3 linked regions of the Drosophila melanogaster genome follow. The protein of the gene in region 1 interacts with the protein of each later gene in a pairwise test. Each region holds a gene or a part of one and is shown on either strand. Other genes may lie near its edges. The genes, in order: CG15784, CG30039 and CG42758.

The links.
Region 2: the proteins of CG15784 (region 1) and CG30039 interact in a two-hybrid assay, tested with the Drosophila melanogaster proteins (one large-scale study listed by BioGRID).
Region 3: the proteins of CG15784 (region 1) and CG42758 interact in a two-hybrid assay, tested with the Drosophila melanogaster proteins (one large-scale study listed by BioGRID).

The regions. Positions count from the first base shown.
Region 1 is NC_004354.4:5,427,907-5,433,076, forward strand, and holds CG15784 (uncharacterized protein), read left to right. Parts: upstream 1-1,664; 5' UTR 1,665-2,773; coding exon 2,774-4,438; 3' UTR 4,439-4,620; downstream 4,621-5,170. Other genes in the region: CG16756 (uncharacterized protein), read left to right, coding at 1-49, 115-260.
Region 2 is NT_033778.4:12,050,409-12,053,532, forward strand, and holds CG30039 (uncharacterized protein), read right to left. Parts: upstream 1,348-3,124; 5' UTR 1,220-1,347; coding exon 1,199-1,219; intron 1,147-1,198; coding exon 724-1,146; 3' UTR 569-723; downstream 1-568. Other genes in the region: CG44314 (uncharacterized protein), read left to right, coding at 2,568-2,861.
Region 3 is NT_037436.4:14,565,652-14,568,753, reverse strand, and holds CG42758 (uncharacterized protein), read right to left. Parts: upstream 1,315-3,102; 5' UTR 1,271-1,314; intron 1,208-1,270; 5' UTR 1,072-1,207; coding exon 697-1,071; 3' UTR 621-696; downstream 1-620.

The sequences.
Region 1 (5,170 bases):
TTTTGTCAGGAGGGAAGGCGTGGCGGCATTTGCAATGCCAAGTGCGAAGGTTTGTGAGGGCTGCTCTGGCAAATCGTATTCTATTCAAATTTAACTAAATATAAATATTTTTAGATTTTTTGGACGAAAATTTAAGGGAGTCGGTTACTTGCGCCAAGCGCATCCAAACCTCGGATGGTTTTCGTCATTGGGCAGGATGGCAACGATATTGCCGAAACGCCCAAAATCTGCCTAATCTTAAGGTTATCTGTGGGATCTAGATGTAATTAATTTAATGATTTCAATTTGTAACAAATAAATATTATATATGTATATGCCGTGAAATAATTTCAAAAGACTAAATAGTTTCAATACCTAAGAGAGCTCTGCTTCCAAAATTAAAATTATATTATTACATTTTGATAAATTCGCGTTTACGATACAGTCGATTGTTCCGAATCCAAATCGATTTCGGAATGTGTTGAGTTTCGGGTTCAACAAAGCTTACGATCAGTTTAATACTTTAACACTCTGGCAACCCTACTCGCTCTCTATTTCTCTCCGAGTTTCGTTCATTATCAAGTGAACGAAAGCTTTAAGCTTTCTCGCCAAAAACTTTGTGGAGCAATGGAGTGGCACTATCTCGCTTACGTGGGGCTTTCATTTGGCGACATCGGCCGAACAAATCGGAGCGTTTTTTCGCAACGTGTTCACAAGATATCAAAAGTCATTGAGAATTAATAAAATATGAAAAGTCAAGAAAAGAAAAGTATATCCCAGTGCCCAGTGCCAGAGATTCCGTTCTCTTATAAAAGAATCGCATTTCATGGATATATATACATATATCCTAAACAATCCCTATGGGATGATATTGTGCCCTATTGCGATCGCCTTACATAAGTTGCCCATACCCCAACCAATATACATAAGTATATACTATGTGACTCATATTTCCCTGCCCCCCAAACGGTTCTCCAGTTTCTGAGAAACTGGAAATGCTATAAACAAGATCCAAAGATCTGATGCCTCAGTCGTTGAGCTGCGTTGTGATAAAGTTGATGCAAAAATGAAAACTCAAGTGTATACTCATTTTTTGTTTTCGTGTTCAAGTCCCAAGAGGTCCCATGAAATTTACAAACATACATAGTTGCCGAACTATGTTTACTCCCATTTTATGAATAAGTGCTCCCCTGATATGGGTTTCTCAAGAAATCTCACCAAAACACCCTGCTGCCATATTAAAATTCTGTGAATGATAATGAAATTGAAGAATAAATAAATATATTTCGTATTGTTTTCAAACAAAAAGTTCCAAATATTGCCTATAATGTGAAGTCCCATTTTGCGTATGAGAAGTGTGATGTTTTGAATACCCCTTTTTAAATCTGTGATTTCTTACGTTTTTCCGTTTACCAAATATTTATGAAATTTTTAAAACATAAATAAAAAATCATATGCGTAATCAGTATTTTCTGATTTGTGGTGAAATTCGTAAAGAAGACCTTCAAAAATATATTGATGTGTTATTGGTGCAAATATAAATGTATATAATATATATAATTTATATATAATTTTGAAATTCTACTTATCAAAAGAATCGATGTTGTGGTGATGTGCTGATCTCTATGCAATAAATTAAATAGTTTTAAGTGTATTTTTTCAATATAAATATATAAAATAAAAAAACAGCCTGTGTTGAATTTTTGTTGCATTGGAATTTAAGTTCCAATATGAAAAATGTCATTTACAGATGGATTATCTACTTAGTGCATGAGTGATAACTAATCATGGAGCATTATGAGCATATCCATCTGAGAATGTAACGAATGATCCCTGATCCCTGATCCCCGATGCCTAAATGTCCTGCAAAGTGAGTTCGGTTCCTTTTTGGGCTGTGAACTTTGCCAGGAAGACCACCAATTCCATTTTCCAGACTGTTCTTTATCCATTTCGATATTTGCAGTGTCTGGCGAAATTCAGCATAGACTTAATTTCGTTAATTTGAATCATTTGTTTAGTTTTTTCTTGTGCTGCGTTTTGTGGAGCTATTTCATCACATGACGAAACTCTTGCAAAAAATTCCCCACTGCCAAAGCTTTTTTTGAAGCGTTATTCCGGTTTTATTTAGCTTTGTTTTGTTTTGTTTTGATAATCGGAGAACGACGCAAAATCCACGTACTCGATAGCAAATTGTGAAAACAAACGCGCGCGTTGGTATTGGTGAGAGAGCAGCGAGCTACAGACGAGCCTCCCTAACGTGGACCTAGATCAACCGCACTCACGTTAGTCTCAATCAATGTGTTGCAAATAATATTATTTTTTTTTTGTTATTTAGCGCCAGTTTTTAGAATATGTTAGATGCACATTTAGATTGCAGATTTTGTTTATTTAGATACGTTTTATATTTCATGGATTGAATTTTAAGGCCAAGATTCACACACCTATAAATTTGCGAAGGGCTTTTTCTGTTGTCTATTGAAATGTTTAATTTGTATTGAGGTTCCACTGTTCCCCGTTTTTGTTCTGCGACGCATTTCAGTGCTCCACCAGTGGGGCGTTCTCACCGCTTCCTTGCCCCTTTGCCCCTTTGCCGCCTTGCCGCTCCGCTGGCGCCGCCAACCGCCGACGCCGCTGAGCGTATAAAAAGTGCCGGCCGGCAAGCGAATGGCATCAGTTTGCAAGCTTTCAGCTTTGTGGCATAGCGTATCCCAGCGAACTCTAAACCGTTAAACCAAGCAAAAAAGCAACTAGTATTACACCAGTGAAGGTAAATCGCATTGAAGATACTATCAACATGAGCGAGTTGTCCAGACTGCAGCAGCAGCAGCAGCAGGATCAGGATCGGGAGCGTGTTTCCCAAGAGCTGATCGACTGCGATATTGACTTTGTGGAGGATACGACCTCCAAGGTGGAGGAGGAGGCCAGGATGCCACCAGCCAGTTCCAAGCGATACACCAAAGCCCTGAAGAAGGTGACCAAGGTGCAGCGCATGCTGGAGCAGGCCATGATCCTGCTGGCCGAGGAGGAGGCCAGGTGTCGGCAGCAGGAGCAGGAACAGGGCACCAAAAGGACCAAGAAGCAGCTGAAGAAGAAGGCCAAGAAGGACAAGAAGAAGGCCAAGAAGCTGGCCAAGCAACAGGCCAAAAAACAGGCGGAAGAGCAGACGGCGGCTGGCGAGGAGCCCTCCAACACCTCCAGCTCCAGCTCTTCCAGCTCCAGCTCATCCAGTTCCAGCTCCTCCAGTTCGAGCTCCAGCTCCGAGGACGAAGAGGTATTCTATAACGGTTACGGCTGGATCAGCAATCCATGGCGCCGAGGACCACATGGCCATCACGGCTTCGGTCGTCGTCTTGGCCACGGTTTTGGCCACAAGCATGGTCGCAAGCATGGCCACAAACATGGTCACGGGCCGCATCATCATGGCCGACATGGACATCATGGACGGCCGCACCACCACCATCCGCATGGTCACCACTTTGGTCCCCATTTTGGACCACACTTTGGACCTCACGCTGGGCCCTCTCCCTTTGACTTCGATCGGAGATCCTTTCGCGGACCTTGGCATGATCAGTCCCAGTTTTTTCAATGGATGGGCCTGCCGTGGGCCCTGGACAATGCCGCGGCCAATCGGAGGAGCCACTCGCTGCCTAGACTATCTAGGCGCGACTGTCGTGGAGATCTCGGATTCGGATTCGGACCAGGATACGGATACGGATATGGCCAAACGCGTCCACGACATGGCCGTCGACTAGAGAGATCACTTTCCCGTTCAACATCCGGTTCGCTGGAGAGGAAGCACTGCCGCAAGCCGAGGTCCAGTTCCAGTTCCAGCTCCAGTTCTTCCTCGGAGGATGAGAAGAAGAGGCAGAAGTGCAAGGGCAAGGGAAAGGGCAAGGAGAAGAAAAGACAGCAGCGCTCCTCATCCAGCTCCTCATCGAGCTCCAGCTCCAGCTCCAGCTCCAGCTCCAGCTCCAGCTCCAGCTCCGATGGCGAAGTGCAGAAGATTCCCCATCGACGCGGGCACCACTTCGGACCTCCACATGGCCACCACCACTTTGGTCCGCGCCATGAAGGTTACCGTCCCCATCACGGCGGACACCATGGCCATCACTTTGGTCCACATCATGGTCCATTTGTCGAACATGGACATGGCCCCCAATTCGGACCATTCTTTGACGTTCCCCAAAGAGAATCCGGTGAAGGACCGCGTTTTGAGCACCAGCCCCGTCCGGAGTTTCCTATTGCCCATCATCGACCACCACCAGCTGAGTTCCCTCCAGGTCGTCGCAGTCGTTCTCTGTCCCGATCCCACTGCCGCAAGGAAAAGCAGGAGAGTTTCCCCAAAGTCGAGAGGGAGGAGCGCAAGAAGGGCAAAAAGAAGCACGGAAAACGCGCTCATGGACATGGGCATGGACATGGACATGGACATGGCCATGGACATGGACATGGACGTGATTAGGCAATCGCAGCCAGCGTTTAAGATGCATTAAGATTCCTTCAATACAACCTCCCACACATATAACCTTCAATATTACTATACATTTAACACCCAGAAGCTTCTATTCTATTATTCTATAAAAAATCATTAAAAAAACATCTAAAAAAATGAAATTAAATAAAAAAAAAACAAAACTCAAATCTATATACTTCGTATTTTTTATGGAAACTTAATTTATTTATTTTCTTCTCCACGGTACAAGTGCATTCGTTAAGCTCAACTATATAATACCCATTACTTTCTGAGTGCGATTGCAAATGACTCAATTGCATTATTAATGCAGCTGGCGGAAATGAATTAAAACTACACTTTAAACTAGATACATTACGAGTGAGTAATTACTCTATTTGTGTTGCTTAAGTTGGGGAAATGCGAATGGGGGGCTTATGGACATTACGCACCGCGATAAGATTGGTGTATTCCTGCAGAGGTTTTTCCCCAACCAAATGACAATGCAATGGCAGCGATAACAAGCTTGATAGGCTTATCAAATTATAGGTTTTTCACCTGGTTAAATATTATTGTTTTGACACTGCAAAACTCGCAAATTAACCCATTTTAGATTAATTGGTTGGGTTTATATTGTAACAACCTGTGGATGAATCGCGGACGCAGAATGTTGACTGCATTCTCTCCTTCAAGTGGGTACAGTTTGTGGTCGCAACTGTTCTCAGCTGCGGAGGGGAAAGCCTG
Region 2 (3,124 bases), on another chromosome or scaffold:
AACTTCCTTCGTGACGTCACTGCACCATGACGTTTGCAGGTCCTGGCTAGCTGATTGCGATGGCCTACTAACACAGTTCAAAGCTCCCGGGTGACCCAAATTCGTGACGACAGCGCCCCACAGCAAGGGTCTCTTTGTGGGCGTGGCCCTGGCTTTGATGAATTGAATCCAGCGTCCTGTGGCCTTTGCATACTCAATATCCCCTACTAACACAGCACATCCCTTTTTCGGTTCCCATTCCTTGGCTGCTCTTTTAATTTGCGCCCTCGACGATTTTCATCCTGCTGGCAGGGGAAAAAAGAAAAATCATGGGGCGAAAAGTGCCCAAAAATATTAAAAATGTAACTGAAAATCGCTTTGACTGCTTTTGATGTGTATGATGGCATTTACGGTGGGCTGCCTGGCCAAGAAATTGTCACACACACTTGAGTTTGTAATTCTTTTGATGTTGTCCTGCAGATTAAGAGGAAGTGCCGGAAGAGGAAATGGAAACTTAATCGAAAGCAATCTGAGCTTCGAGCGAACCGATTTTGGTCCTTTGAATAAAAAAAGACTCTTATTGAAAATTATTCAGTAGTCAGGCATTTTATTTAACAAGTCTAGTACGAATAATTTAGATAAAAAGTTATACAATTAGTTAGAAAATTACGTTCAAGTAAAAATCTTAAGACTTCATTTCAAGTAAATTTTGTACGTTTGTTTCCTAAACGTAGACAACAATTTTTAACACGGTAATTTCGAACGCTTCATAGGTTGCTTGCGGTAAGCACCACCAAGTACTTTTCTGGACGAGATCCGTTTCACCTTGAACAATCGACCATCTATCTCGGCACATGAGAAAAACTTGGTGCGGGCCGGAAAATAGATCGTGACAGTTCCGCACTTGGTACAGTTCACAGCGCGATCTCCGTAAAGAGTGCTTTTCCGTTTATGGATCCTTGCCCTTTTCCTTTTTTTCACTGATCTCGATGCTTTGCATTCTGGCTGCTTATATTTATGTTCCCGATTTAAAATCCTCGAACTACTGCAGCGCTGGGACTCTTGAACCTCTTTGGTTTCTTTCACATTTTCCTCAACGTTTTCAGGTGATTGCGGTAATGGAGGACCTCCTTCATCAGTTGCGGCTTGTGTTTCTACACTTGGAAGCTATTCAATTGCGTGAAATTCGTGTGTACGTTTGTGATGTGTCAATACTCACCGGAAAATTTTCTTGGCTCATTGTTTTGTGATATTTATCATCTACGACTTATCGTTAGAACGTGTGATTCGTAGAAAGGATTGTTTGTAAATGAGGGCTCCCAGTGTTTTAAGTAAGACAATAGAATTCAATGGGTCCTGAGTTTTCATGAATCGAGAATTTCCAGGCTGCCACGTTGTATATCTTGTTTCAAATCTTTCTAAATCTTAGAAAGAGCTGCAAAATTCGATGTTTACCAATAGCTTGCTAATTCAACTTGAGCTCTATGCTCTTTTGTAGCGATCCGAAACACTCGACAGTGGATTAATTTCGGTGGAAATCAAGTCAGGTATCACCACTTTATTTTGCAAAGCATTTGACCCCCCCTTACTTATACACAAATCCACCGTCTATGACGCTTGTTGCATGCACACACACGCAAACGAACGAGGACTATATGTCCTCCAAGCACAAATGTCAAACGTCTCACAAGAAAGAGGCGGCGGTGGCGGCGGAAAGTGGGCGTGGCAGGGTAAACAACATATCGAGTGAAGTCCTGCTTGGCTCGACTTACTAACGAGTCGCTTTTCCCCCAAACGAGGACATAATTCTCAACAATTTTTGCTGCTCGCCTTTTTATTTTCACATATACATATACTTTACACACATTTCCCCCAAAATAAAAGTCAAGGATAGGGTAGCGGGTGGCCAGGATGTCCTTAGCGAAACGGTGAAGGGAAGGGAAGGGATTGCAGTGGCAACCACTCGCCCCGGGCTGTTGATTTTTATTCAAGAGTGTGCGTGTGTGTGTGTGTGTTGCACATAAACAAGACGCTGTGTAATAGATGCCGCAATGGGCATTACTAATGCGCCCCGTGGCACTTTTGCCCATATTTGCGCCAGACGGGCATGGTGCAGGGGGCAGGGGGGTGGTGAAATCAACGTGCTTTGTGGGCGGCAAGGGCGGTCCATAATTGTGCAGTTAGAGCCGCTGGCAGCCGCAAACTGGTGCTTAGATTGCCTCATTTGGATGTTTGCTTTCGCCATCCGGAAGTCATTATGGCTGCGGATATGGGTATGCTCACCTACACCACGAGAATCATTATTCAAGCGAAATTAGTGGATTTTATAAAATCGAAAAGAAAATTATTAAATTATTATTATTATTATCATTACTATGTTATACATAGGTTGTAGCATACAACATAACTTAATGATAGAATTATTATTTTCGTACCTGGTAAATATTGTTTCTACTCACATTAACTTTAGTTTTTCAGCTAAATGGATATTAAGTACTTACTACATTTTTTTCTTGAGTGCAGCAAGCCCTGGGACAGTGAACAAGCTGTCAGTAATGAAAATTCAGACAGGTTTGGCAAATACAAATATGAAATTATCCGTTTTGTTTATCGTGATGCAGTTGCTGGTGCTGCTGGCTGCACAGGCGATTGACCTTTCGCCGCCGCCGCAGCAGCAGCAGCAGCAGCAGGGTGCAGATGTGGCAGCCAGCTTAAAGGAGCTGCAAGGGGAGATGGCGCATCCATTGGGCAGCCAGTGCATCAGCGATTGCCTCGCCGAGAAGGGCAACCTAGTGCCGGATCAACTGGGTGAATGTCAGCAGGTCGAGCAGCAGTTCGACTGTACACTGTACTGCATGTTTGATGTAGAGCCGCGCTATTAAGCCATTAACCGATATAGTGCAAATACGCACAGGCTTGCTGGCCATTAAACCAATTATGGCCAGGACCGTTGCACGTAGGTATCCTTACACAGGAAATACACAAAATAATGAAGTATGCCATTAAGGGGGGGAAATGTAATTGCTTGTTACATGGCGGCAAGGTCGATGCCAGTGCTTTTTTTCTCTCATTATTTTCCATTTCACATTTATTTTAATTTAATTAAAATGTTTGCCATTTTCTTTTATACATTTTTGGTTTGCCC
Region 3 (3,102 bases), on another chromosome or scaffold:
AGCGCACACATGATTTGGATTCGGTCCTGAGTATGACATTTGTTTTATGCCTCGTTCAGGTTGCGGCAGCATAAAAACCGCAAAAGAAATCCGCAACAGAAGGCAACCTCGGAAGGCCGCCAACATGAATTTGGCCTAAAACACATAAGCGAAGCGAAACTGCCACGCGATAAAAGTTAAATATGCAAAGATGAAAATCTATAATTTTTTATTAGCCCTGATCCCCGGGCAAGTGCGTCCTTATGCGGCTTTTCCTTTTATGCCGCACTGGCTAATTTGCCCTTTTGGCCCAATTTGTTGCGGTTCTTTCCACGACGCCACGGGAATTTTTGCGAAATTTTTACGATTTGCGATTTGCACGAATTATGCCAATGTTCTTGCATACTTTTTTTATAGTTTTACAATATGGCGTCACAGTTGCGGTATCAACATTGCATTTTCTCGTATTTCTTATTCAATTAAGGTTACACTTGGCAGGTTAAGGGACGAAGTTTATAAAATCTTTTACATACTGCGAAGGATTAAATAATTCTATCGAAAAAGGGGATAAGGTGACACAAATAAGAAGTTTTTTTTATATATTTCCCACTTCTCAGAATCAGCTGCAAACAACACGAAATAATTCAATTTTTAATTTAATTTGAATTTTTTTTACAATTGATTTGTTCACAACGACTTTCCACTATCCATATTTCATCAGCACTTGGATCGACAACAGGTCATGCAAGCACAACAGCAGGATCGCCCGAGATCGGGAGCCAGCCATGAGAACCAGGAAGGATCCAGACAGGACTCACACCACGGACCACAGCAGGTTTCGGGGAATATCCCACAGCAGGAGGATAAGCAGGCGGCACAGCCATTCGAGCATGACCCACATGGTCCGCAGCAGGACCCGGATTTGCAGCAGGATTCGGATGTGCAGCAGGATCTGGGACTACAGCGAGGTGGTGGAGTGCAGAAGGTTCTGTAGCGAGATCCGGGCTTTCGACAAGATCTGGTTGCACCGGTCTTACAACGGGAACTGGAAACTGGAACTCGACATCCAAACCGTGGAACTTGCATGCACATGGTCCACAGATATTTTTGAGACTCGTTGGTGGAAGGAAGTGTAACAGCGGAGCTTATACACAATTTTTTATTCTAAAAGATATCCCGAAGAAACTGTATATTTTCGCCTTATACATTCATCGCTGATTGTCCAGGCCTAAGTGGTTATCAACTTATCTAATCGGAAGATTTTTGGCAGATTATGAAGTTTATGACTTACATGAAAATACACAAACGAAAATAGCTAGCTTCGTCGGGTTTTCGGAACACTTTCGCAACGATAAGTTGATGGAGAGTCAAAATATATTTCAAATTACTAAACTATATTTAAATACTTTAGTTTACTAATTAAAAATACTGAAACAGAAAACGTAGAAAAAAACTTATTTTCATAATATTTAAACGAAATCATTCAACTGATGATCGTTACAAATCATTTAATATTTTAAAAATACTGTCATGTTGTATGAAATTTTTGTGACTCCTAAAACGGGTTATTTAACACTTTGCCTGACTTTACAACCCTCGAATGGAAGACCACTTTAGTTAATGGTAAAGCACATAAATGAAATCATAAATAAAAGTCGCAACTTTGATTTACTTGCGTTGACAACAGCACAACATTAAATTAAGTGCAGTAAACCGACCAAAAAAAGCAAGGAGGATGAAGTCAAAGCTGGAGAAGCCCAATGGATAACCCCATGGTACCCTTCCCTTGGGTCTAACGAAGCGTGAATTAATTGGGATGGGTAAGTGGAAATTGCGCATTAGCCTCGCCTGCCGGTGGATGCAACCAAAGCGAAAGCACACAGATACTCAGGATACGCACCATTCCAAAGACGACAGGGAACAGGACAAACAAGGAATCGAAACTAGCCATTCTAGCTGGAAATCGAATTTTGTCACTGCAAGTGGTTGGAGATCAAATAGAACCAACTAATGAATCCACACGACAATTAGAACATCAGTTTGCTATATTTCAGGCACTACGCAGAACACCAAATGGATCATGAAGAGGTATGTAATATTTAATAATATTACTGAATAATATTGCATTTAAAATTAAAGCCTATTTGCAATCTTTTTACCCGTATATTCATTTAAGTTTATAGCACTAAAAATGTAGGAAAAGTGCTTGCAATTGGAACATTAAATTGGCATTCAGTGCGGCCCATAAACGTTGGCAATTAAAATCTTATTTTCGCTTATTACACTTTCACAGGTGTGTGCCACATCCCAACCCCTCACTGCATCACGCCAATAAACACGTCTAAAAATTTTAGCCAAAGAATTTGTCGCCTGGCTCAGGCCACCTGTTCCCCTAAAAAAAATGTGTTTCTTTTCTTTTTTTTTCCATTTTTGGGTAATTGAATCATTTTAGCGCCATTTATTTTGTTCAGGATTGCGCAGGTTTTTGGGAATGGAAGGAGTCGAGGTTGCTTTCAGTTCGCGTGACATTTGTTAAACAATTTCTATTTCGAAAATGAAACAAGCGCGAATGCTCGCGGATGGGAGGCACATAAATAATAATGCGTTAAATTTATGCGCTGATTAATGTGGAGCAGTCAATCTCCACCAGCTTTCGGAACAGAGGACGAAGGATTTCACCACCCACTTGGCCAAGTTCTCAGGTGTGACCAGTTCAGAGGGGTGGAAATTAAATCTACAGTTCATATGAAAACTCGATTGAGCGCGTAAAGTAAAATATACATAAATCTAAATTTATTAGAATGAATTAAATTAGTAAAATAGAATTTAAATTCAAGAGCATATTTTGCCAAAATCCCTAATATCTTCAACACGCGAATTTCCGAAATAGCATAACTTTTGCCCAAATGAGTTTTATTGCTAATTTATAAAAAGAAGCAACGCAAAAATATATAATGAACTCCAATGAAAACTTCCAAAAATTTGTATGATCGTTGTATCTATTTCTATAAAATTGGCTTAGTTGCTCATAGTAACTCTGTTTATATCGTTTGTGGTTACCGAAAAGCCTCCAATAGAATTATTTTTCCACACAATGAGACCATAAACCAAATCCCATCGAAT